Linked DNA regions of Tamandua tetradactyla. The protein of the gene in region 4 interacts with the protein of the main gene of each other region in a biochemical or structural test. Links are inferred from orthologs where the notes say so. Each region holds a gene or a part of one and is shown on either strand. Other genes may lie near its edges. The genes, in order: UBR2, USP16, MYSM1 and H2AC20.

Region 1 (7,202 bases), on a different chromosome or scaffold from region 4:
TATTAAAACTGTTGAAAATTTTAAAGCAAAAAAAAAAAAACAATATATACATACAACTCTATAAAATTTCTACAATGCCTATGTATCTTTTACATTTAGGGAAAAAAATGTAGGGACTTCCTAAACCATAATCACTCATTGGAAAATGACATTGTAATTAAATCTTGGAGCATGAAATGTAAATAAAGAGGAGAGTCAAGAAGTACGGAAAGTTATAGCTGTTATGGAATCATTTCTATCAAGAAAAAGAGAAGACTGAGAACAAAGGGCCACTTTAATATCCCAAACTTAAAATTATTAAACAGTCAGCTTAGAAGCTTTTTATTTCTGAGGCATACTAGTCAGGACAGATGAGTTCACAAAAAGTTCTTCCTCCTCATTCTAGAAATAAGAGAAGCAGTGTATAAATAAAGTTTGGAAAGATAACACTAGTGCTCACTGTGTAATTTTAAATGGATGTGATCCCAATAACTTATCAGTAACAGAAGTTTAAAGGCTGCAATAACTGCTTTCTCTACTTGTTTACACTCTCTAAAATTTACTTTGAATCTGATAGAGAAACTTTGTTAATTCATTTTCAGTTGTGAGAAGGGCTGTACTGGAGCCCAAGCTGAAAGAACAGTTTTAAATGTCATGCTATTATAACCAGAAACAGACAGTAAACCCTTCACAAAGTAAAGATAGATTACATGAGCTGAGGGGATCTTATATTTTAATATTAGCTAGTCTGTTCCTTATTTGAAGGAATTGTTGGCCCTCAGACTGAACCTTTTTCTTCTTTATGCTATCGTTCAGAAAGCCATTTAAAAGTAAACAGAGCAAATGTAAAATATAGATCAGGTTGCAGATCCCCACAAACTCTAATTAAGTTCAAATTAATAATTAGTTATTGCATTTCCTTGACTTTCCCCACTGCATCTTGAGAGAATGTCACTGCCCTAGAACTAGGAGTGTTGGCCTTCAGCCCTGGTTTTATAACTGGTTTCCTCGAAATTCTCAACAAGTTGAAGAAACTCTAATCACTCAACAGTTTGCCCTTTTAGATGAGGTATCATAGAATAAATAGCCTATACTACTGGGCCAACAAACACAAAATTCAGTGAAGAATAAAAAAACCACAAAAAAACTCTGAGGTAAATAACTGATTAGATATCAACAGAAGAGATCATGCATAAGGAACAGCTGCCAATACTATTATTTTACTGTTTACCTTAACAGTTTTCATTTGCTTTTTCAAATATCTTCGACAAATGAAAGGTAGAGGGAGGTTGAAAATCCTTGAGCTGTTGCAATACTAAATAGACAGTAGTGCAAACAGACACGGGATAAACATGTAAATCAGGATATGGTTAAAAAAAGAAAGAGAAGACTCATTACTGAACAGGCAGTCTATTTCTTTACACTTTTTAATTATACTCCTACTGTCATTTATTTGCACCCTGACTTTATATCATTAATGCACACAAAACAGCTCATCACTGACCAATAACCCCATAGTACCCTCCTCAAATTCTGTTCATAACATTAAGTAAGATTGTTGACTTGTGTTCAGAGGTCATTTCCTTCTTATTAACCTTAGGGGTGGGGCCTAAGTTGTTTTGGTCCATTCATAATCATTCTGGACAATCTGTACTAATAGGTGTTCCCTGTCCTTGGGGGAAAGATGTCAAGTTTTATTAAAATAATTATTTTACAATTCTGCTCATTGTATTAGCATATGCAAATTTTAGTACAATACTTGGTTTTAATAGTTTAACTTCGGAGCATAACTGTTCCTGCTAAGCTGTGGCCTCTCAATGTTAGCTTGTATTTATTGAAAGTTACACTCTCGAAGTTATATAACTTACTCTCCATCCAACTACCCCCAATGACTAGAGAAATTATTTTTTTTAATCTCCTGGTCTCCACTACAGCTTTCATAAAATTACTAAATGTGTCAAGATACTACTTCCTACACCTTCAAAGACACGTCGTCGGCTGACCAAACAGGTACAAAAACGCACAGGTGTCGTTTGCATCCCTGGTGTCCAGGGCAACCCCAGAAAAAAAGGAGGGGCTCAGTTACTGTGCCATGTTTCAGTGGAGGAACTGCTTCGCTTACCTCAGGAAAAGGAATCAGGAAGTCTGAGTTGGGTGATTATACCAAAACCACTAGGAATCGTCTCTTTCCCTCCCATCCTCCGAGGGCTGGAATAAAGGGCAAAGGCCCGTGTACTGGCGACTTAATGGGAAGTGGGGGGGCGGGGGGGGGGGGAGACTAATGCAAGAGCTCTTTGTTGGTCTAGGCAGAATGGGAAAGTAAAGGTGGCTGGAGCACTGGGCTATTTGAGGATTAAAAGGAAAGACAGGAGATCATTAGGACCGGTGGCCTCCTCCGGCCGTTACTCTGCAAGACAAGACTGGGGAGAACGGAGAGGCCGGGGAGGCAGGCGCGGTCGTCACATCACGTCTGGGCCGGGCCGCCCCGGGATTTCCAGGAGTGAGTTCCTCCCTCGGGGCGCGGCCTGCGAGGGCCAGACCTACATGCGGGGGTCCCGGTACTCACCCCCGCGATCTCTTCAGCCGAACATTCCAGCAAACTCCGGTCGATGGCCTGCACCTCGGGCTCCAGCTCCGACGCCATTTTTCCTCCTCTTCCCCAGCGCTGACGCCGCTACCGCCGCCCCAAGGGCCGTGGCCTCGCCACAGCCCGGGCGGCCGCGACCGTCACCCCTGCCCCAGGCAGTCAGTCCCGGAGCCGCCAGGCGGCCGCGGGTGGAGCAAGGCAGGAAGGAAGGGTGAGGTGAACCGGTCAGGAGGGACGGCGGTGTTTACGCTCCCTCCCGGGCCCAGCGACCAAGTGGCAAGTCACCTACTTGTCTCTGCCCGGGGAAGGACACAGAGAACCCCGTGCCTGGCACTCTCGTTGACTTCTACCGCGTCCGACCCGGGGAAAGGAGCAATAACACCCAAGATGGGAAGAGGAGCACTCTGGGAACGGTAGTAGTCCCAGGCAAGGCCAGGAGGAAGGCGGCCCCTTAATAGGGTGCCACAAGGGCATTGTGGGAGTTGTAGTACATCTCTTAAGGAGAGAATGGCAGAGAATCTGCCAATGGGAATTGGCAGGTAATGGGGCGGGGTTTCTTTGCACAACTAGACTCTTGGGGAGAGACTTGGGAAATAAGCACCCGCTAGGAATAAGGCTGCAGAACAAGATACTGTGGGAAGTAGTTTTATCCGCTGTCCCCCACCCCCCACCCGTATTTGTTCATTTTTGTATCCTGAGGGCATAGAATAGCCTCTGGCACATGGTAAATATTCAAGTATTTGTTAAAGTCCGGCATATGATATACACTCAAATATTTGTCAAAATAATGACTGAAGATCTGGAAGCATATCAAGAAAGTTACTAGAGCTAATAAGTGAATTCAGTAAAGTGGTGGGGCACAAGATCAACAAACAAAAATCAGTAGTATACCTAAACTAGGAATGAATGATCAGAAAGGAAATCAAGAAAACAATTGTATTCATAATAGCAACTAAAAGAAGAAAATGTCTAGGAATAAATGTAACCAAGGATGTAAAGGACTTACATAAGGAAAACTACAAACCATTGCTGAAAGAAATTAAAGACTTCAGAAATGTAAAGATATCCCATATTCATGGGTTGGAAGACAATATGGTTACAATGTCAATGGTACCCAAAATAATTTATAGGTTCAATACAGTCCCAATAAAAATTCCAACAACCTTCTTTGCAGAAATGGAAGAGCCAATCATCAAATTCATAGGGAAGCACAAAGGGTCCTTAGTAACCAAAAGAATCTTGAAAAAGAAGACGAAAATTGAAGGATGCATATTTCCTAATTTCAAAACTTACCACAAAGCTATAGTAATTGAAACAGTATGGTACTGGCACAAGGGCAGACATATAGACTAATAGAATAGAATTGAGAATTCAGAAATCAACATACATTTCTATGGACAATTAATTTTTTCCAAGGGTGCCAAGTCCACTCAATGGGAAAGAATAGTCTCTTCAACAAATGGTGCTAGGATAACTGGACATCCACATGCAAAAGAATGAAAGTATCTACCTTGCAACAAATACAAAATCAATTCAAAATGGATCAATGACCTAAATAAAACTATGAATCTCTTAGAAGAAAACATAGGGAAATATCTTCAGAACCTTGTATTAAGCAATGAATTTTCAGACTTTATATCAAAAGAATGAACCACAAAAGAAAACAAATGGGACTTCATCAAATTTTTAAAAACTATTGTACATCAAAGGGCATTATCAAGAAAGTGAAGACAGCTAACAGAATGGGAGAAAATCTTTGGAAACTGTATATCTGATAAGGGCTTAATATCCAGGATATACAAAAAACCAAAAAACCTCCAACAATCCAATTGAAAAATGGGCAAAGGATAATGGGGATAGTTTCTTTTTGAAGAGGTGGGAAGTTCCTGGTAATAGATGGTGGTTAAGTGTAATATAACATTGTGAATGTGATTAATCTCACTGAATGGTATACTGGGAGTGGTGGAGATGGGAAAGTTTATGTTGTTTCTATGTATCCATAATTGTTTTAAAAAGAGCAACTAAAGAGTCGCAGATTAAATGCAATACATGGCATTAGACTGGATCTAATATTGGAGGAGAAAAGCCCTAAAAGGCTTTTGAAAAAACTGATATAGAGAATGAAAGTTTTATATCAATGTTAAAGTTCTTGAACTTGATAACTGTACTCAAGGTGGTTATGTAAGTATATATCCTTGTTCTTAAGAAATGTATATAGAAGTATTATGTATTCAAGGGGCATGATATGTATAATATACTCTCAAATGTTTAGAAAATTGATAGATAAATGGATTGATAGACAAAATGATACAGCAAATCTGGCAAAATGTTAGAACGGTTGAATCTGGGTATCTGTCGAGGGGAGTTCTCTGTATGGATTTTGTATTATTTTTGCAACTTTCCTGTGAGTTTGAAATTATTTCAAAATAAAAAAGTTTTAAAAATTCAAAACCAAATGGACAAGCGATTTGAATAGACACTTCTCCAAAGACGTTATAAAAATAGTTAATAAGCACATGAAAAGATGCTCAATGTTATTAGTCATTAGGGAAAGACAAATCAAAACCACAATGAGACACCACCTACAACCACTAGAATGGCTATTATTCACCAAACGGAAAAGAACAAGTGCTGGCAAGGATGTGGCAAAATAGGAACCCTTGTACATTGTTAGTGGCAATGTAAAATGGTACAGTTACCATGGAAAACGGTTTGGTGGTATCTCAAAAAGTTAACCTTATTATTATCATATGACCTGGCATTCTCACTACTAGGTATATACCCAAAGAAAGGCAAGCAGGGACTAAAACAGATGTGTGTATGTGAATGTTCACAGCAGCATTATCCACAATTACTGAAAGGTGGATGCAACCCGAATGTCTATCAACTGATAAATGGTTAAACAAAATGTGGTATGTACATATAATGGAATATTATTCAGCCTTGAAAAGGAATGAAATTCTGATACATTAAACAACATGGAAGAACCTTGAGGACATCATGTTGCGTGAAATAAGCCAGACACGAAAGGACAGATTTTGTATGGTCTTCCTTATATGAAATAACTACAATATGCAAATTCATAGAGAAGGAAAGTCGATTATGGATTACTAAGGACAGGGAGGAGAGAGAATGGGGAGTTAATGCTTTATGACTGGAGAATTTATTAGGGGTGACAGAAGAGTTTTGGTAATGGATGTTGGTGAGAGTAACACACTATTGTGATTGTAATTAATGCCACTGAATTGTGTGCTTGAAAGTGGTTAAAATGGTAAGTTTTATGTTTTAAATATATACGTGCGCACGCACACACGCACACACACACAAAGAATGAGGAAATTACATTCTATTCCTGTAGTTCTATGGACCTATATCATCCATCACCCAGTCATCCCTCAGACTAGTACCTGAGGTGAACATTATTTGGGATTTTTAAGGTTTTAAAATATATAAATACTTAAAGAAAAACTTCTCAAGCAAATTAGTGATGGCCACTTATCAAAATTTATTACAAATTTTGTCACAAAGGAAAAGGAATGAGTTGAGGTAGACTGCTTGAGGAAGAGAGGCTATGTGGAAGAGAATGAAGATACACAGTTGACAGCCACACATCCCAGAAGCAGAGCCACTTCGCTGACCTGTGGGGAGCTGTAACTGCATGAGAGCATCCAGGGAGAGAAGAGGAGAACTGGCCTAAATCGCTCACCTGCAGAATTGTGAACTAAGTAAATGACTGATGTTTTAGGCCACAAAGTTTCTAGGTGTTATTTTAATGCAGTAATAGCTAATCAGTTCAGTCATATAGTTAAATAAATGACAAAAATGGCATTGAACTCAAATCTCTTCAACTCCAAGACCTATTTCCCCCTGTGGTACTGCTTCCCATATGCACCCATTTCCAGGCAAGTTAATTTATTATCTTTTTTTCATGATTAAAATAACCAAGCGCATGTAGAGTAGGCCTCAAACCAGGGAAGTTTCCCTTCTTGATAGGTCCTAACGTCATTATTTGGCTCTTCTTAGAGGCCATGGGTAAAAGATTGGAAACTTTCTGTCCTTGAATTATTTTGAAACACTGGACACAAATCTTCCTATGTGAGGATCACACCAAGATACATCTGTCACGGTTAATCTCTGTAGACACACCCTCTACTATTCTTGGGGACAAGGTTGCCCCACCTCCCTCTTTTATTTCTAAGAGATTAACGGTGACGGCAACTGATTGTATTTGTTTTTCCTCATTTGAGCTTTGATAGTGGATTTCCTCTAGTCTGTAATAGAAATGTATGAAGCAGTTGATGTAAAAATAGTCCTCAAGACAGAAGGAAATAAAGAGATTTTGAAAACATCTCATGTTGGTTCTGTACCTGCTAGCACTGATTTAAATGACCTCCTAGGGGGCAGGCCACAGTGGCTCAGCAGGCAGAGTTCTTGCCTGCCATGCTGGGGACCCATGTTCAATTCCTGGTGCCTGCTCATGTGAAAAAAAAAGAAAAAAGAAAAAAATTACATCCTAGGAATGGAACATCCACTATCTTGTGGTTCTCTGCTTTCTAAAAATCATTTTGTCTCAGATGTAAAAAGGATTGTCACTTGGCATACTTTGATGCAGAATTGCCCAGCTACTGCATCTTCT
Region 2 (7,104 bases), on a different chromosome or scaffold from region 4:
AGCGCTCCTGCAGCCCTTCCTTTGCCTGAATCATTGTTCTTGACAAGTGAGCAGTGTACTCACTTGAGGTTTGTTCTAAAAGTAGCTCAACTCCTTATTTTTAATATTTTGGAAAACAATGTTCATCAAAAAGCTTTAAACATATTTCATTTCTTTAATAGTTATTTCCCACTGAAACTGACCTGGTAAGGCTAGCTGCTGATCTTCCATCTCTCCCAATTTGAATATTTCCAATTTTGCTAAGAGGAAATACTAGAGACGTGTTTAAAAGACTGGACAATTCACCTACACTGTGTAGAAAATTACCTCCATAATTATCCAGTAGAATTAACAGTCAGCAGTCACGTTCATCTGATTATAGTACTGCAGTTTGATATTAATAATTTGCAGACTTTTATCTATCCTGCACTCATGTACAGATTACTATTAAAAGTTTTAAAATGTAACTGATTAATCACTATTTGATCAATCATTGTCTTGATTTTTTTAATTAAAATGTATTATTTCTAACCATATGTTTTTAAAGCTGAGAGAACTGGTCTAATGAATGTTTATTCTCCAGAAGGTATTTTTAAGATAAAGCTTCATAATGGCCTGTAAACTTTGCATATCTATTAGTTTGATACATATCGTCTCATTTGAAAATCTTGTGTATTGTAACTGGTTTTATCCAAAATGTCAAATAGTATAATTATGGTCATGTAATTAAAAGTATTAACCAAAAAAAAATCACTTCAATGACTACCTCATAACAGTTAATTTATCTGGAATGTTCATTAAAATTTTTATTCTGTAAGTAGAAAGTGGAGTACATATGTTCTAAAAACACTTTCCAGTTAAATATGATATAAACTGTCATTTTTGTCCTGACTTAGAGAGTTTTAGAAGTATTCCCTTTTTAGCTCCAAATGGGTTAGTGTAATTAAAGGTGAAGTAATTTAAAAATATTTGTTTGAAGAATGACTGCCACATCAAGTAAAGGTTTCTGGTAAGAAAACATTTCCAATCTAAAATGTTTACAAAATGAATGAACTAACAACAGAACACAAAGAATATGGGTATACATTAAATGAGGTACACTTTATGTGCTTTCCCTCACCCTCAAAATGACATTCATCTTATCTAGAACAAATGGTAGATTCTAAAAACTAAAAATATAACTCCCAAGTTCTTGCCTACAATCCAACTCTCTAATCTGCTGTATTCAGTGTCCTAATGCCATTTTAATCACATCACTCTCTTGACTAATAGTATTTAATAATTTCCCAGCCCAAACACTTGCTTTGCACTCATGTTCCTTTATAATTTGGCCACAATTCTCTAGTAATTGTGACTCTCATTAACAAAGAACCATGAAGATTATAATTACTGTATACAGAACTTTTGGTCTTCAAAACCATCTCACAAACATTACCTCCTTTGATTTTCACACACAAAAAAACCCTTTATATTGGGCAGAGTGCCAGAGACAGAACTAAAAACCAGATCTAAAACCCAGACCACCACTCTTTCCATTCCAATCAGGCCAATCACTTCAGAATCCTCCAGTCTAAACCACCTTGCCCACACCTCTATACCTCCAATTCTCAGCAGGCATGTTCTCTCCATCTATCCAAATCTTACCAATTCTCTAATTCTCCATCTCAATGAAGCCTTCACCAACCATCAACTCAATAAACTTCTGTCCTAAACTTTCAATGTTTATATTGTGCACTATTCATTTTATACTCTAATAAGACACTATTGTAGACAGTTTCTTAAATCTTTTAACTTGGACATCTATTATTTCTCTGCCTTGAATCTAAAGTTCAAGGACAAAGAAATGTTTTAAGCATTTCTTCTGAACTGCCTGTAGCATCTAGTAGAGTGTAAGTACGGACAGATTCTTAAGAAACACTTGTTGCATTGAAACAGAAAAAGAGAATGGTACTTGAGACATAAAAGATGATTATAAGGTGTAAAGGTAGGTACATAAGAATGAAGTAAACAAGTTCTGGTGAAAATGAAAAATGAAGTCTGCAGCTGTGAAGACAGCACTAGCAAATCTGGTTTGAGGACTGCACCAGCCCACAGTCCAAAGGAAAACTTGAAAGACGAACTGTAATTGCGGCAGGCAGAGGACAGCAGGGTATCACTTCGATGCTGTAGAAAGAGCTCCAGTAAATTTTTCACATATAAAGGACATCTAATGAGTCACTATAAAGCATCAATACTGCTATTTAATTTTTCAGGTGCGCCTTGGGACGACAATTAACTTCTTGACCAAATGACTCTTTTCAGGACTCCACACAAAATTTAGATCGAAGCTAGTCTTGCCGGATATCATACAAATCTTCTGCATTAACTCTCTGCCCTCCCAGTCTTACCCCTACAGTGTTCCACTGAAAATGCAAGAGTTTGGAAAACTTTGTCAGGTCTTAAACGTGGCTTTCAAAGTTTTTCTTAGTTCTATCCACCCTTAGAAGCAGGTGATAGGGTGACAGATTATTCTTTTTCTATAAACCACCATGAACTCAGCTGTAAACCCAGTTCCAACCCGTAGGGTGCTGTCCGCCGCCTGCCACCCACCCGCGCGGCGCCCGCCAGACCTGCCCTCCCCTTCCAACTAACTGCTCCGAACCCACTCCAGGACCTCGGGGTCCACGAGGTCAAGAGGGGCGCCAAGGCCAGCAACTCATTGGCCAGCCCCTGTAACTGACAGAAAACGTAACCAATGAGAATACGGTGTCGGGCCGGGACCGGGTAACCAGCTTAAGGAAGAAGGTCCTACGAGAAGAGAATCAGATGTGGGCAGAAAATTTGGGACTCTCAGAGCGCATGAAGTTAAGCCAGTAGGGACTACAAGTCAGTGGGGCCAGAACTCACCCGCGGCGACAGCGCCCATAACTGCATTCCCTGATGGGCCTATGGGCTGGGACTCCAGCTCCGTCCTCCTCCCGGTGACGATTAGAGAGCGACAGAACTCAAAGCCAGAGTGACCCCGAGAAAGCAACAACTTCCGAAACACGGCATTATGGGAAGTGGCTCCGGCCCCAAGGTTCGGCGGCGCTGACGCTAGCTAATCAGCGCTTGCGCACACCGCGACACGGAAGTCGGGGCCGCAGTAACCTTAAGGAGCTCGGCTGTCAATGAGGCATTTCCCCATTGGGTAAATGAGGTAACTGATGGTGTTTAGAAGTTTGTGTGTGTGTGTTGGGGTGTGTGTGTGTGTGTGTGTGTGCAATAAAATGAGGTAACTGATGGTGTTTAGAAGTTTGGGTTTCCTGACTGATAATGAATTAGTGCCTAGATTCTTCCGAGTTACTGTTCTTAAATATTACACCCGAAGGCTGGATAAGATGGGAACATTTAAATTTCACACAGTTTTACAGGAACTGTCTTATCCTGTACAACGTCAAAATAAAAAGTAGCACACATAGTTTTAAAGCAAAGTTGAAGAAGTGTCTTAAAGGCAGAACCACGGAGGGTAAAATTTTCAAACACTGTTCATTCGTTCAAATAAGTAAGTGCCCACTTGGTGCCAGACCCTCTGCTAAGAGAAATTAAACATAGGATTCGCCCTTTTGGAAATTATTCTAATAAAAAAGACATAATCACCATGGAAAAAAGATGCAGGATCAACAGAAAAATAGGTAAGGGAAGTAAACAAGTTATCCACAATAGGTCATAAAACGTACACTCTTACTAGCAATCAGATAAAAGTAGATTAGGATTTATTGGCATTTTATCCATCCAGTTGACCAAAATGAAAACGACCTCTGCTTAAATCTGGAGATAAACTGGCTCTCCTGTTTTTTACTGCTTCTGAGTTCATTTTTCAAGTTCTTTTTACTAAGTTCCAGCCACGCTGGTTTTGTTTATTTGTTGTTGATGTTGTTTTTCTATTCCAAAACTCAGTCTTGGGGCCTCTGTACTACCTGCTTCCTCTGCCTGGAATGCTCCTTGTCTTGACCTTCTGTGTTTGGTGTCCTCTTGTCATTCCGTTCGCACCTTAAAAGTCACAGAAAATTCGCTGAGCAACCTAGGTAAAACAGCCACTCCCAATCATTCACATCATCTTATTTTACTTCTCTGCCCAGCAGTTATCCCTCTCCGATATTTTACTTTCACACTTAGTTATACATTTGCTTACCCCACCCTACCGCATATACACAAAAGTGCAAATGTAAACTTCTTGAGAGCTGGAACATCTTTGTGTTGTTCATGGCTATATCCCTAGAAGTGTCTGGTAAATAGAGTAAGTACTTAGTAAATATTTATTGAATAAATATAATCTTTAGAAATTAAATATTTGTACAAAATATGTTCATAGCAGCTCAACTCATAAAAGCCAAAAAAAACAAAAAACACCCCAGGCTCCCAGGAAAAAAATGGAAAAACTGGAATATTCATATAATGGAATACTACTAAGCACTAAAAAAGAACTGCTACAAGGACATGAAGGAATCTTATAAATTATTAGAATGATAGAAGCCTTACACAAAAGCACACCTACTGTATGATTCCATTCATTATAGGGCAGGCAAAACTAATTATGGTAGGAAAAAAGAGTAGTGGTTGCCTCTTGGGAGATGGGTGCAGATGACTGAAAAGGGACATGAAGGAACTTTCTGGGGTAATGTTAATGTTCCAATTCTCAATAGGGTTTGAGTTACACAGGTTTATGCATGTCAGAACTCAACAAATGTACATATAAGACATACATGTCATTATAAATTTTATCTTTAAAGAGAACTAAACAATTTGAACTCTTAAAGATACGCATGCTGGCATACACATTCTGCAGTACTTAGAAAAAAGTATGATACATGCAGCTTACTTTGAAATGCTTTTTAACAATGGATAGATTAAATATGTAGCAAATTATGTATAGTAAAATATCAGGATAGTCTCTCAGTGAGGGTTTCTTAACCCTCGCACCATTGACATTTTGGATTAGCTAATGTTTTGCTATAGAGGATACCCAGTGCAATGTAGAATGTTGAGAAGCATTCCAGGCTCTACCCACCAGATGCCAGCAGCACTCCTCCAGCTGTTGACAACCAAAAATGTCTTCAATCCGTGCCAAATATCCCTACCCCCTCCTCCTTCCCTTTGAAACCACTCCAAAAATCTCTCAACTTTGTTGTATGCTTGAAATTTTTCAGAATACAATCTGGAGGAAAAAAGAGATGGGTTGTTTAGTGACACTGAAAAGTGCCTTAAAAATACCAAGTAGAAATGCAGCTATAAAGACCATATACAATCTTATTTTTGTAAAAATAATAACAAAGTTTGGAAATTAGCGGTGATAATGTTACCACTGTTCACCTAAAAAACAAAACAAAAATCTTATTTACGACATTTCTAAACTGAACATGTAGTATCATAAAGGAAAAAGTGAAAGTATGTATTACATACATTTGGATTAAAAAACATTTCTAATCACTCCTTCAAACTGTCATTTTATTACCTGCAGTAAATTTCTGTGCATGGATACTTCCCCTCACACACACATCCTGGGCATATTATCGGGAGCGAAAACCTAAAGCCGTCCCAGCCATCATCCTCAGGCCCGTCTCCCTAATGCCTAGCTACTCAGTTCAATTTGAGGACCAACAGCATCCGCATCGCGTGAGACCTATTGCAAATGCAGAATCTGGGACCGTAGCCCTATCTGTCTAACCGGGATTTGTATTTAACAAGGTCCCCAAACGCTTCCGACTTGTGCTCAAGTTTGAGAAGCATTACTTTAATGGTCCATTCCTTGCCCCAGTAAACAATGCCGGCTATATTTCTCTCTGATAGTGCCAATAGGTTTGAGACCGTGAGGTGTAGGAAGACCACGGGGCCAGAACACCCCTCCAGCGGGTCGCAGCCGTCACCACTGCGCCAATCGACTTCCGGATTCCACGGCCCAGCGCGCGCAAGCGCAAGCCACCTTCGCCCTTTCCCACTTCCATAGGGGCGATTTCCAGGCTCCGGTCGTCTTGTATTCTGAGGCTCGCTCCGCATAACAGAAATATCTGTTTAGTGAGGAAACCTGGGAATACCGAACTGAGGGCGCATTCAGTGCGCCCTCGCCTGACCCCAGGTGAGTTCTCCGTCCGCGGGCGCCGGGCACGACTGAGAGGTTCTCCCGCTATCAGAGGCGGGCTCCACCTTCGGGAAACCTGCTGGCGTGGTGGCACAGACTTCCGGTGCCGTACACGCCCGCTTATTGGCCGCTGTCCCTCCCTCTCAGGACCTATTGGTTGCTAAAGGCGACAGCGCCTGCGCGCTGGGCTTAGGTCCACTGCCAGGGCCGCTTTTTGAGATTTGAGTCCGAACTTTGCTTTTAAACACTTTGTTTTTAAATGCTGGGTTCCTGCTCCGATCTTTAAAAACAAATTTCAAATAGAAAGAAGGATTCCACTCAAGAAACTCTAGTTTCATTCTACGTTATTACAGAACAATTCACTGCACTCGAGTCAAAAAACTCTCCTGAAGGTTTTTGGGGCTGAAATTTTCACCCACGATAGTAATTTGGCAAATAAGTGACTTTCTTGTGTCAGCACTCCCGTAGTTGTTAGCGCACGGGTCCCTCCGTTCCAAACTTCTTTGCTGGGTCCATCTCATCTTCCAGACCAGACCTCCAAACTCACTGGGTCCCTCTCTACATGGGCACTCACTTGCTGAGAGATCTTAAATACACGGCTGTAAACATGTTGGCTTCAAATAGGTGCTGGTGACTCCGAATATCTTCACCCGAATCTGCCGTAAACTCCGTAATTGTAAATCCAAATGCCCACTGTACATCTCTAGTTAATAGATGTATTAATAGGTACTTCATTTTTAGTATGTCTAAAACCGAAATTCAGATTTCCACTATCTTACCTTTATAGATAAATGGCAAAACCATCCTTCTGGAATTGCTTAAAGCCTTGGAGTCATTCTTACACATCCCATCTAACTCATTGGTAATACCTGTTGGCTCTACTCTCACTGTATGTCCAGAACTTGAAGCTCACTGCCTTAACCATCACAACCCTAATCCAAGCCACTATCCTATGTTCCCCGAGTCTGCAGTGCCTACTGGTCCCCCTGCTTTCATCCTTGTTCACCTACACAATACTCCACAGCAAC
Region 3 (7,427 bases), on a different chromosome or scaffold from region 4:
CAAAAAGGCCACATATGTTCTCTTTACTTTTCCAATGCAGTAGCAGGTGTCCAGAAATAAACCTGCTGAAGTTTTTTTTTTTACCTTTGGCTATTTTCAAGTGCCATGAAATGGTTATTTTCAATATATTTTCAAGTTCTACAGTTATTTTCTGTGGAGGGGAATTGCCTGACATCCAGCCATCACCATTGCTGGCTATACAGTCATCAGCCACAATTTTTGGAAAATGACACAAAAGAAAAGTTTCCTTGAGGTATTAAGTTCCACTAAACACTTGATTCCTTATGACACTTTTAGCCCCAAATAACTTTCACCTAGAAAGGGTCATTTCATTTCTCCCTGTTTCTAGCATGAGCAATAGGTAAGCTTCCAAAATCAAGTAAGACCTTCTGCATGAGTCTGTTGCTTTTAGTGATGGTCAGTTCTTTGGATGGAGAGAGGAAAGAGAATGGAAGCATATCATTGCCTGACGCACTGTGGCTCTGCAGCATTCATTCTCTCCATGTGGATCCTTAAAGATGGATAGGACTTAGGAATTATCTTAGCAATGCTTATCATTGCTTAGATAAACAGAGATTCACAGATTTTTATTTTTACAAGGTCAAGTTAGGACAAGGATGGAGGTAAGGCCTTGATCCAAGGCAGTATCCTTGCCTGAACATCACACTGACTTTCTTAATAAGCATTGTTTGCTGAATCTATTCTTAAAGTTCTTAAGCTTTATCATCCAGAGGAGTTATCTTAACAGCAAATATTAAAATAATATTTTGATGAAGCATGAAAGACTTACATATATCTGAAAGTTTCCAGGGTGAAACTTGGCATTTTTTTTTACAACACAAGACACAAAAAATAAAAATTATAAAGGATGACATTAATAAACTTGGTGACATTAAAATTTTAATAAAAAATTCCTATACCTAAAAAACACCCAAAAGGTATCAAAAAACCGAAAAGACAAGCCTTAGACTGGGAGAAGATATTTATAGTCCACATAAAGAAAAAAATATTGGTATTCAAAACATTAAGAAATCCCAACAAATGAATAAGAAAACAAACAATAAAAAATTGGGCAAAAATGCAAATAGGCAATTCACAGAAGATTTGGCCTTCATGGACAATAAAGTAAGGAAAACATTTGTCAACCTTACTTCTTTTTTTTATGTTTGCACTTTTATTAATCACCAAGTTGCATTTACATAGTTATTGCTACACATTTTTTGGGTGGGGGATTTGAAAAACTTTTAATTTGGAAATACTTTCAGACTTACAGGAAAGTTACAAAAGTAATGCAATCCCCATAAAGAGAACTCCAATGTATCCCTACCTACCAGATACCCAAAACTACCAATTTGAACACTTTGCCACATTTGTCATATTGTTCTATTTTTTGAACACTTGAGTGTAGATTATAGACATCATGCTTCTTTTTTTTAAATATTTGTCTTATAAACAATGTACCAACATACCAACATTCTTGATATACGATCATTCTTGACATATGAACATTCTTGACATGGTTACAATCAATGGCTAACAATATCATCCAATAGTTGTGCATTCATCACCATGACCAATTTTTTGAACCTTTGAATCTCTCCAGAAGAAGAATGAAAAAAATAAAAAGAAAAAACTCATACATGCCATACCCCTTATCACTCCCTTTCATTGACCACTAGTATTTCAATCTACTCAATTAATTTTAATCTTTGTTCCCCTGTTATTTATTTATGTTTTATCCATATTTTTTACTCATCTTTCCATACCATAGATAAAAGGAACATAAGACACAGGGTTTGCACACTTAATCACATTGTGAAAGCTATGTCATTATACAATCATCTTCAAGAAACATGGCTACTGGAACACAGCTCTAGAGTTTCAGGCACTTCCTTCTAGCCACTCCAATACACCATAAAGTAAAAGGGAATATCTATATCATGCATAGGAATATCCTCCAGGATAACCTCTTGACTTTGTTTGAAATCTCTCAGCCACTGACACTTTATTTTCTCTAATTTCTCTCTTCACCTTTCGGTCAAGAAGTTTTTCTCAATCCCTTGATGCTAAGTCCCAGCTCATTCTAGGATTTCTGTCTCATGTTGCCAGGGAGTTTTATACCCCTGGGAGTCATGTCCCACATAGAGAAGGGGAGGGCAGTGAGTTTGCTTGCCATGTTGGCAGAGAGAGAGAGAGAGAGAGAGAGAGAGAGAGAGAGAGAGGCCACATCTGAGCAACAAAAGAGGTTCTCTGGGGGTGACTCTCATTTTAAGTATGCTTAGCCTGTCCTTTGTGGGGATAAGTTTCATAGGCACAAACCCCAAGATTGAGGGCTTGGCCTATTGACTTGGTTGTTTCCACTGCCTGCAAGAATATCAGGAATTCTCCAAATAGGGAAGTTGAATTTTACCCCTTTCTCACCATTCCCCCAAGGGGACTTTGCAAATACTTCTTTATTCACTGTTCAAATCACTGTGGGATTTATAGAGACATCACACTAACCTGGACAAAACAACAAAATCTCATGCCCTATTCAAAGTTCCATGCACTTACGGTGTTCAATTAAACTATCCATATAAGTTAAATTATCAACCCTATTTAAGTAGGAAGATACAAATTAAAATCTCAATAAGATACCATTTTATATCTTTCAAATTGACAAAAATTCAGAAATCTGATTGCATCAAGTATTGGTAAACAAGTGGAGTAATTAGAATTTATATTCTGCTTTGGGATTGAGTATTGGCAACTTCTAATAAAATTGAAAATGCATATATCTTATCACCTTACAATTACATTCATACACATAAACTATATGTATCACATATATGTATACATTATATAGCCTATGTGCATGTATATATATCTTATGTAATGCATTTATAGTACAGCTTATTTTATGCCCTGAGCACAAAGGTGAGAAAAGACTAATTGAGAATACTGTGGGAAAGGAACTCATTTCATTAATTGATTCCTTCATTCATTCATCTGTTAAATATTTTTTGAGTACCTATTATGTATCAGACATCATGCTGTATGTCGGTAGTATAAGGACTGACAGACTCAGTCTTTGCCTTAGGAATTCACTGACAACAGGGGAGGCAAATAAGTGAACCAATAATTAAATTGTGAGAGTGGCAGATACTAAGGCATATATATATATATACATATATAAGAAATAAAATATATAATTAAATTGTGAGAGTGCTAGATACTAAGGCATATATATATATATATATATATGAAATATATAATTTCTTGAGAGGTCACACATTCTTTGAGAGAAATGATCTTTGTCCTCTACAATGCCTAACAACATGATTTGTACAAGGTAAACACTCAGTAAAGAATCAGAAAGGCCTAGATTCTGTTTCCAGCTCTGTCTTCGTTAGCTATGTATCCTTGGAAAGTCAGTTGACCTTTTTGAGTCTGTTGAGGATTGAACCATGCCCCCAACAAAGGCATTTTCAGGTCCCAATCCCTGTTGTGGTGCAAACCATTTGTAATTAGGATCTTTGAAGATTTTATTAGTTAAGGTGAGCCCAAATTGAATGAGGATGTTTTAATCCACTACGGTTAAAGTCCTTATAAGATAAAGAAATTGGACACAAAAAAAGCTAGAAACCAAAAGAGGAAAGAGAGGAAATTGCCACGTGATGGAAGAGACAAAAAACAAACAAACAAAAAAACCCAAGACACCAGTAAGCAGGTCCAAAACATGATAGTCTCTGGGGAGAAAGGATTGCTTTGCTTGCACATAGATTATGGACTTTTCCTAGCTCCAAAATTGAGTGCCAATAAATTCCTGTTGTTTAAGCTAAACCATTGTATGGTATTCGTTCTAGCAACTGGGAAACTAAGTCTCAGTTTCCTCATCTATTGTGTGATTGACGATACTAGCCATTATCTCAATGGGTTACTGTAACGATTAATGGTCATTTGAGAGTGATTTTTTAATTGTTAAGATCGCTACAAAATAAATGATGCAATCATTAGGTTATATATTTTAAAATAGAGTTTGTTCAGCACTTACATCTCTTTTTAAAAGAGAGAGAGAAAGCATACGTGAAAGCGCAAACGTAAATAACCAGCAGATACGACTTCTTCACATTTGCCACCTTCACAGTTCCCCGAGTATAGCCTAGCTCCAACTTTTCATCAGGCCATTAAAGTATTTGCTGCTATTCCTCTTTTACAAATGATAGAAGGGAACTGCCAAAAAATTTGTCCAAGAACATCAGCTCTCAAAAGCCCAAGGCAGGGACACTTCCCAAGGATCCTGACATTTAAAACGTAAAAGAACTAAACCACACGCCTCCGGGACTTTCCTTCTGGAAGCCACGCCTCCTTGGCCCAGGAGGGGCTTGACGGGACTTCAACCCCTCCCCTTGACGCATCCGGTCCCGCCCCCGGGTCCTCCACCTCTCGCGGGATCTCTCGGGAGGACAGGACCCGGTCCGGCCCCATCATGGCGGCTGAGGAGGCGGATGTGGATATCGAAGGGGACGTAGTGGCAGCGGCGGCACAGACAGGGTGAGGCTGTGAGACGATTCTTACCGGGCGGCGGGAAGAGGGCGCAGATGCGAGGAGAGGACACTGGGAAGCCCACGGACCTGGCAAGGCACGGGGCATCGGAAGACCATCCGCTAGGCCAGGGTCTCCTGGCGGCGGGGCTTGTGGTTCTGGTGGCGCCGCCCGTCGCGCCAACCCATGTGTCCTCACCCTAGCGGGCGACTATTCGGGGCTAGTTTCGAGACTCCTCTTTCGCTTTTCACCGGGTGCTTGTGAGGGCGCCGACTTCGCCTGGCATATTGCACTCGTTCCAGCGTTAGGTGCCTTCTTCCTTCCTCCTCGCTTTAGAATCTTCCCCGGTATCCTCAGTCCCACTGCCCGCCAATGGAACCGAGGCGGTTCCTGGCGGGTCCTGAACGGGACCTCAATGCAGGGACCCTCGTGCCATTACTCTCAAGCCTTGTAACCTTGGGCGAGAACACGTTTCTTCTCCATATGGAGAATAAACTACCTGAGAGGGAGAGTCAGGAGAGTCAGGGTTTTAGAGTTGGACAGTTCTGAGTTTGCTTTCTGCGTTTACTAACACTACCAGCTACTAGCAGTGTGACCTTGGACAAGACACTTGTCTAGCCTCAGACCTCTCATGTGTAAACTGATAATCGTGATATGTACCTCATGGGGTTGTTGAGGATCAAATGAAACTATTATGAAATGTTTTTGCATATTGTAGGGGCTCTGTAAATGTGTTTGGCTATCCGATTACCTTCGGGATGGTAGCGTGAGGACGCGGTGAGGAATCACAGTTTATTTAATAATAATTTCCGCAGAACAGCCCAGTGTGGTTTTAAACAGCAACCTTCAGCTTGGAAGATCTGGTCTATTGATGCGTTACTTTTTCCACTTACTGAGATCAATACGTATCATTTAAAAAGTGTTCTTCTAGAATATAATTTTAGTAGTGGAAGATGTCAAGACTGGCCTGGACATCAGAAAACCTTAGCTCTAAACCCAGCTAGCGATGTTGTTTTAACTGAAAATCTTCATTAATCTGTTAGGTTGAACCATATGAAATTGCCAGTATTCAACCATTTTTTACTCTTTTTTGTAAAATGTCAATTTCATATGGTTCAACCTATTATCAGAACCACTGTTAAATGGGGAGAAGAGTACAACCTGGCCATGAGGGGCAAGATATGGATATAAAAGTGTTTCCTGAACTCTAAAGCCGTATAAAAATGTGAGAGATAATTCAACTCATATAGTAATTTTACATCAAATTTTTGAGGAAAGAAGCCCAAAGTATGCATATGAGTAGGAAGTCTTTAATAACAGTAATTGTTCACAGTTGTGTTGTTTAAAACTTGACCAAATGCTTTTGTGTACTTGATTTAATTTACTTTTCACAAGTCCATGAGGTGGGTGGGCAAGAATTCTTTTGCAGCCCAGAAAGAAATTAATTGGCCTTGGAAGTACTAAATAAAGATCATCTGAAGGCATTAACTGTAGACCATTCTTCTACCATAGATTCTTCTTTATTTTTCTGGTTGTGTTAAATCCCCCACTCCCACCCCCACCCCTTTCCTTCTTCCTCCACTGTTTGGGCCTTAATTCTGCTGGTGCACTTGTGATTATATCAGCCTCCTATAAACAGGATTTCAAAGATTATTGGTTCCTAATGGTCAGAGCCATTACCTCACGTAACTCCAGGGAAGATCATTACCATTATATCATGGAACATGGAGCCTCATAGTTTTGGGGCTTCAGTCATTTGGGATTTATTGTGGATGGTGTCCCCTGAAGTATATACTTAACAACTGATGATAGCATGTGTGAAACATTGGAACATTAATATAAAATACACTTTTTTAGCACTTGCTTAGTGGTAGGTACCAAGGTACCTTTCTTTCCTACTATTCCTTCTCATTCTCCTTTTCTTATGCTTGTCATAGTGTTCCCAAATGGTTTTGTCTTAGGACTTCTCTGCACTGTTCACACAGTCTCAGGTGATACTATCTCAAGGCTTCAACTTCTGGTTGAACCATATGAAATTTCCCCAATTCTACCATTTTTGGCCTACAAAAATCGCAGTTTCATATGTTCAACAAATATGTGCTGATGTTTTCTAAATCTGTCACCAAACCAAATCTCTTTCTTGAGCTTCAGATCAGCTTACCCAATTCCCAAAATAGATCTCTATTTGGATGTCCAGCAGACACCTCAGCTTATCATTTTTCCCTCCTCACCAAATTTGCCTCTCTAGCATCCCCTAGTTAAATAGCGCCAGCATCCACCAGTCACCCAAGGCATAGACCTAGACTTTATCCCTTTTCCTTACCTCCCTCTTTCCACTCACCCAACCCTATTAGTTACTTGGGACCTGCTGATTCAATATGTGTCCTCTCAAATGTATTCATTTCTTCTCACTGCTTGTTCCTTAAGTATAGATTACTACCACTTCTCTCCAGTATTTTTATAATCACTTCCTTGTAACTGCTCCTTGTTTCCTTGGCCCCTTTTATTCTTTCCTGAAGTTAAAGCTGCCTTACATCCAAATCTGATCACTTTATTTACTTCAATCCCTCACTGGATTTTATGACAAAATCCTCATCTGTAACTCCTAAAGATCTGTGTGATCCACGCCACACTTATCTTGTTCATTCATTCATACAGCAAATATTGATTGAAAACATTCTGTATACCAAACTCTAGGAATATAGTAGCTTTCAAAAACTAAGTCCCTCCTCTCTTAGAACTAACATTATTGGTTAAGACAATGAACAAACATAAATAACACACACCTGTATTTATGATGTATGTGGCAAATATAACGCATATATGTGGCAGATGTGTCAGATAATAGTAAGTAGAGAAGGATGGAGGAGGGCAGATGATGGCTTGTCTGCTTTATCTCTTGT
Region 4 (5,247 bases):
GGACAGTTGGGATGGTCCTAGTCCTTCTCCACTTTTAAATTCTGACCTTATGACATGGTGGCTCCAGAGAGAAACAGGATAAACTTTCTTTTCCCAAGGGGGAAGGAACTCATAAGAGCCTTGACTTGAAGAAGAAAGCTGGCCATGCCAGAAAGCAGAGGCAGTCCAATCCGCAGTCAGAAAAAAACAAGTAGGCTTAGGAGAAGGTGAGTAGATCACTTTGACTAGAGCAGAAAACCTGGATAAAGATGGAAAAAAAAAGATGGAGATAACGGAAAGCCTTAAACACCAGGGTTTTTAAAACTGTGCACTGGACTGCAGTTCTACTAACTTGCTGTACAATCCTGGGCAAGTTACTTAACCTCTCAGAGCCTCAATTTCCTTTACCTGTGAAATAAGGATAATAATGGTACCTATCAAGTGAAAATCTGAGATAATTCACATAAGTATCTTAGCAGAGGACCAGGTAATAGTTAAGTGCTCAGTAAGTGATAGCAATTATTACTTTAATTATAGTAATTATTAAAATAGTAACTTATTATTAATAATTATGATTATTAACTCCAATATAAGCAAAGGCAATTAAAGATGTTTGAGTGGGAGAAAGAAATGATTAAAGAGAGTCTTTAGGATTAATCTCACCATCACTGATTACCTCCCCTCCCAGTGAAAATAGCAAACCCTATCACCTCTTTCCCTTTCCTTACTCTGTAACTTCCTTCCTAATGAACATCATGTCCAGGAAGGGCCTGCAACCAGCAAGTAGTGTTCTTCAGTGTTCATGAAAAGATTCCAACTGTTGAGTGCCAGGTGGGCCAGGCCAGCTGAGTTAGGCTGTGTCCTCTAGGCAGGAGAGCCAGAGCTCCCCAACCCCCTCCCAAAGCCTCGGGAGCGGTATGTAAGACTTTAGTCATCACCTCCTTACCTCCCCCCACCCAGATTTACATCCAGTGTGCATTTTGAAAAGAGTAAAGCAGGTGGTGTTTCATTTAAGTTTTAAGCGATAGCTATTTCCCCAAACACCCAGGGGTAGGGGTGGAGGGTCCTGATTTTCAGCTAGTGAGCCTACTTTCTCAGGTCATCAAAAAAATTTCCCAAGCTACAGAGACTAGCAGCTTATTCTCTGAAGAGTTTCTGAGGAAAGGTCTCTCTGTGCCCATTTCCTCATCTGTAAATTGGAGGGTAATGGTAATACCTACTTCATACAGTTTTGGTGAGGATTTAATGAGTCAATGAGTGTAAAGGACACAAAACACGAGATGCCACATGGTAAGAGCTGTTATAGGTATGAGCTTTTATCATTTACTAAAGTAAACTTTAAAGCCTTTATTTCCTCCACCCTGTTTATACTCTGTATCTGTTGTCACAGTTTTCAAAACACTAAGCATGAAAAGTGATTTCTCATCAGACTATTTCAGCCCCAGGGGACCTTTGGGGAAGTGAATTTTGTGCTGAAGGTGTATATTCTTCCTTCAGATCACAGGTACTCAGCTTTCTTGAAGATTCAGTGGCAGTTATTTTGTTTAACTGAGAGTGTATTACAGATTAACGGACCCAGCAAAGCTTTCAAATTAATTGGCAACCTTATTTTTATTTATTTTTCTGCATGGGCAGGCACCAGGAATCAAACCCAGGTCTCCGGCATGGCAGGCGAAAACTCTTCCTGCTGAGCCACCATGGCCCACCCTAATTCATAACTTTATTTTTAACAACTGCATTTACACACATTTGAAAACACAAGAATGAGATACAAGTTGCACTAATATCAGGGCCTATTCGGATTCATGAAACCTCTGGAATCAACTCAGGAGTCCCTTAACCCAAAGGAAAGTGCAGAAACTGCTCAGACCAGCAGCAGTGCCTTCGTCAGTAAAAGCACAACTTGGACAGAAACATTCGAAATTCTATAACTCCACAAAATAAAACCAAAATGCAATTGTCTTCATACCTGAGGATACAAACACCATCAAAACCTTAGTTTCGTGACTGTGAACTTCATTTGTGAAGGGGTCTTTAGCCCTGGGGTCCTGCCTGTCCCAGCTAAGTAAGAGTCTCCTGAGAAACAAGGGAGATAGGGCATATTAACAGCAGTCCCAGTGAAGAAGAGAATCAGGATGGGGGGGGAGGGGGCGGGCATAAAGGGAGCTGGCTTGGAAGGCTCATTGCACTTTCCAGTGACGAACGCTCTGAACTTGATAATCACCCCGAAGACACTACTCTGAGCCGGGAAGTAAAGGGAGGTCTTACCAAAACCACATCCCCCCGCGCAGAAAGGACCTGACCATCGCCCCTCCCAGTGGCTGCAGACAGGTCCTGTACTTGGAATGTGCTCCAAACCACAGGTCCATTCTCACCGAGGCGTGGTGGCTTCAGACACAGCTAAGGGGAAACAAGCGCGCCCATTCGTCCAAGAAAACGGTGTGGGAAATGAACTCAAATACTCACGCAGCCAGTGCCCACTGCTTCTGGCCCTGCCACGCTGAAGATACAGCTGAGAACCAGGCGAGAACCAGGCCAGGTTTCCTGCCCTCAAAGGCTCGCAAACCGGAGGGGAATAAAGACCATAAATAAGACAAACGAACCACACAATTTCCCAAGCTGCTACGAAGAAGTTTAAAAAAGAGTGAACGGAAAGACTGGAATAAGAGGCGCGGACTCCTGAATGGCTTATCTGGTGGGGGGGGGGCGGTCTCCCCGAGGTGACTTTGGGACCAAACCTACGTGACCAGGGCAAGGATTGCGGTGACCTAAGGACCCCGCGTTCCAAGCAGCGTTATATGTAAAATAACCCGTAGAACCGGGGGGGGGGGGGGGGGGGGCGCGGAATAAGGTTTTAGAATCCTGTAGTGAGCAGAGGAATCGGAAGCTACGAATTACGAAACGAAGCGGGATTCTGAAAATTCACCCCGTCCAACCCGGCGCGTTTGGGTGTGGGCTCCGCAGGGGGCGCCTACAGCCACTGGGACCCCTGGGCGGCCACCGGTGACCCCACATGCAAGTCGCTCCAAGAATGGCTACATAACTAATACAAAAAGCTGTCGTACGACGTTTCCGACCCGAACTCAATGTATCCTGGGGTCTTTCCATTAAGTTCATCAGTTGAAATCACTCCGTTTTCCACGCCAAGTTAACAAAGCGCCGCCTACCCTACAAACAATTGGAAACAACAAATCCTTTGCATCCTAATAAATCCTTTCCCTGAAAACACAAAGGATAAAGATGGGTCTGAACTCAAAAACATAACTAGTCACGGGCCGGGGTCGAATCACTCCCGATTCCACGTTTCCTTTAGAAACGAATCTAAAGTGAAATATTAGATGGAGAAAGCTCTTTTCTTGTGACCGAGTGGGTGGCTCTGAAAAGAGCCTTTTGGAGCTTTAGGCGAGCGCTGGCGTGCGCGCCCCGCCCGGCAGGGGCTCACTTGGAGCTGGTGTACTTGGTGACGGCCTTGGTGCCCTCGGACACGGCGTGCTTGGCCAACTCGCCGGGCAGCAGCAGGCGTACAGCCGTCTGGATCTCCCTGGACGTGATGGTGGAGCGCTTGTTGTAGTGCGCCAGGCGCGACGCCTCGCCCGCGATGCGCTCGAAGATGTCGTTGACGAAGGAGTTCATGATGCCCATGGCCTTGGACGAGATGCCAGTGTCCGGGTGCACCTGCTTCAGCACCTTGTACACGTAAATGGAATAGCTCTCCTTGCGGCTGCGCTTGCGCTTCTTGCCGTCCTTCTTCTGCGCCTTGGTGACGGCCTTCTTGGAACCCTTTTTGGGAGCGGGAGCGGACTTTGCTGGTTCAGGCATTATAAAATAACGCTGAAATCAGCAAAGGAGACACAAGGATAGGCGGGCCTGAACCTTTTATAACCACCTTATGCAAATTAGGGCTCCAAAAGTCTTTCCTTTCCATTGGGCCATGTTTTATCATCAATGCCTACGTAACAGCGCCTACTCTGGACCTTATTGGCTGTTTCTGGAGCCAACTTAGGACCAATGAGAGTCTCGCTCCTGACCCCACCCCTAGGAAGGCTTATAAAGGCTTTCTTTTTGCCGCGTTGCTACCACCAATTTTCTGTCTCTTGGTGTGTTTGTGTGTTTAGTTTTGATCTGCCATGTCGGGCCGCGGGAAGCAGGGAGGCAAGGCCCGCGCCAAGGCCAAGTCGCGCTCGTCCCGCGCCGGCCTGCAGTTCCCGGTGGGCCGAGTGCACCGCCTGCTTCGCAAAGGCAACTACGCGGAGCGGGTGGGGGCGGGCGCGCCGGTGTACATGGCGGCGGTGCTCGAATACCTGACGGCCGAGATCCTGGAGCTGGCGGGCAACGCGGCCCGCGACAACAAGAAGACGCGCATCATTCCTCGCCACCTGCAGCTGGCTATCCGCAACGACGAGGAGCTCAACAAACTGTTGGGCAAAGTTACCATCGCGCAGGGCGGCGTCCTGCCCAACATCCAGGCTGTTCTCTTACCAAAGAAAACCGAAAGTCACAAGGCTAAAAGCAAATAATCTGTCGATAACGCCAAAGACCACCAAAGGCTCTTTTTAGAGCCACCCAACTTTTCAGAGGAAAGAGCTAGCGCTACCTGTCATCAGCCCTTCTTTTGCTGTTTAGTTGGCTCTGAAAAGAGCCTTTGGGTGGGGGGCGGTGGCGGCGTCACATCTCGTGGTTACTTACTCTTGCCCGGCTTGTGACTCTCCGTTTTCTTAGGCAACAAGACGGCCTGGATGTTGGGCAGGACGCCGCCCTGCGCGATAGTGACGCCGCCGAGCAGCTTGTTGAGCTCCTCATCATTCCTCACGGCGAGCTGCAGGTGGCGCGGGATGATGCGCGTCTTCTTGTTGTCGCGGGCCGCGTTGCCCGCCAGCTCCAGGATCTCGGCCGTCAGGTACTCGAGCACCGCCGCCATGTACACCGGCGCGCCCGCCCCCACCCGCTCCGCGTAGTTGCCTTTGCGAAGCAGGCGGTGCACTCGGCCCACCGGGAACTGCAGGCCGGCGCGGGACGAGCGCGACTTGGCCTTGGCGCGGGCCTTGCCCCCCTGCTTCCCGCGGCCCGACATTGCAGCTAAAAGCACAGTGGCTGTTTCTATTTCAAGGGCAGGGATGGAGCAGGGAACCCATTTGCTGTGATTTATAAGCGCAGGTCGGGAGCGGAGCGGGGCGGGGGCCCTGATTGATTGGCTGAGCGCGCAGCCGCGTCCGCCGCCAATGGCGAGCGGGCGACAGCCGTGGGCGCCCCGCACCGCGCGCAAGGGAC

Evidence for each region.
Region 1: the proteins of H2AC20 (region 4) and UBR2 form a complex in vitro, tested with the Homo sapiens proteins (2 studies listed by BioGRID, with this or other methods). The link is inferred for Tamandua tetradactyla from reciprocal best matches to the Homo sapiens genes H2AC20 and UBR2.
Region 2: of the proteins of H2AC20 (region 4) and USP16, one has a biochemical effect on the other in vitro, tested with the Homo sapiens proteins (2 studies listed by BioGRID). The link is inferred for Tamandua tetradactyla from reciprocal best matches to the Homo sapiens genes H2AC20 and USP16.
Region 3: of the proteins of H2AC20 (region 4) and MYSM1, one has a biochemical effect on the other in vitro, tested with the Homo sapiens proteins (2 studies listed by BioGRID). The link is inferred for Tamandua tetradactyla from reciprocal best matches to the Homo sapiens genes H2AC20 and MYSM1.

Annotation. Positions count from the first base shown.
Region 1 is NC_135331.1:100,144,264-100,151,465, reverse strand, and holds the start of UBR2 (E3 ubiquitin-protein ligase UBR2), read right to left. Parts: upstream 3,028-7,202; 5' UTR 2,624-3,027; coding exon 2,546-2,623; intron 1-2,545. UniProt on the Homo sapiens protein: E3 ubiquitin-protein ligase which is a component of the N-end rule pathway.
Region 2 is NC_135336.1:88,300,926-88,308,029, reverse strand, and holds the start of USP16 (ubiquitin carboxyl-terminal hydrolase 16), read right to left. Parts: upstream 3,008-7,104; 5' UTR 2,893-3,007; coding exon of another isoform or gene 2,866-2,892; exon of another isoform or gene 2,714-2,865; intron 1-2,713. Other genes in the region: uncharacterized protein LOC143647711, read right to left, coding at 3,894-3,990, 5,009-5,155, 5,806-6,236, 6,727-6,777. UniProt on the Homo sapiens protein: Specifically deubiquitinates 'Lys-120' of histone H2A (H2AK119Ub), a specific tag for epigenetic transcriptional repression, thereby acting as a coactivator.
Region 3 is NC_135328.1:162,151,882-162,159,308, forward strand, and holds the start of MYSM1 (deubiquitinase MYSM1), read left to right. Parts: upstream 1-4,425; 5' UTR 4,426-4,468; coding exon 4,469-4,533; intron 4,534-6,994; exon of another isoform or gene 6,995-7,427. UniProt on the Homo sapiens protein: Metalloprotease with deubiquitinase activity that plays important regulator roles in hematopoietic stem cell function, blood cell production and immune response.
Region 4 is NC_135330.1:5,947,698-5,952,944, reverse strand, and holds H2AC20 (histone H2A type 2-C), read left to right. Parts: upstream 1-4,051; 5' UTR 4,052-4,106; coding exon 4,107-4,496; 3' UTR 4,497-4,657; downstream 4,658-5,247. Other genes in the region: histone H2B type 2-E, read right to left, coding at 3,418-3,798; histone H2A type 2-B, read right to left, coding at 4,658-5,050. UniProt on the Homo sapiens protein: Core component of nucleosome. Nucleosomes wrap and compact DNA into chromatin, limiting DNA accessibility to the cellular machineries which require DNA as a template.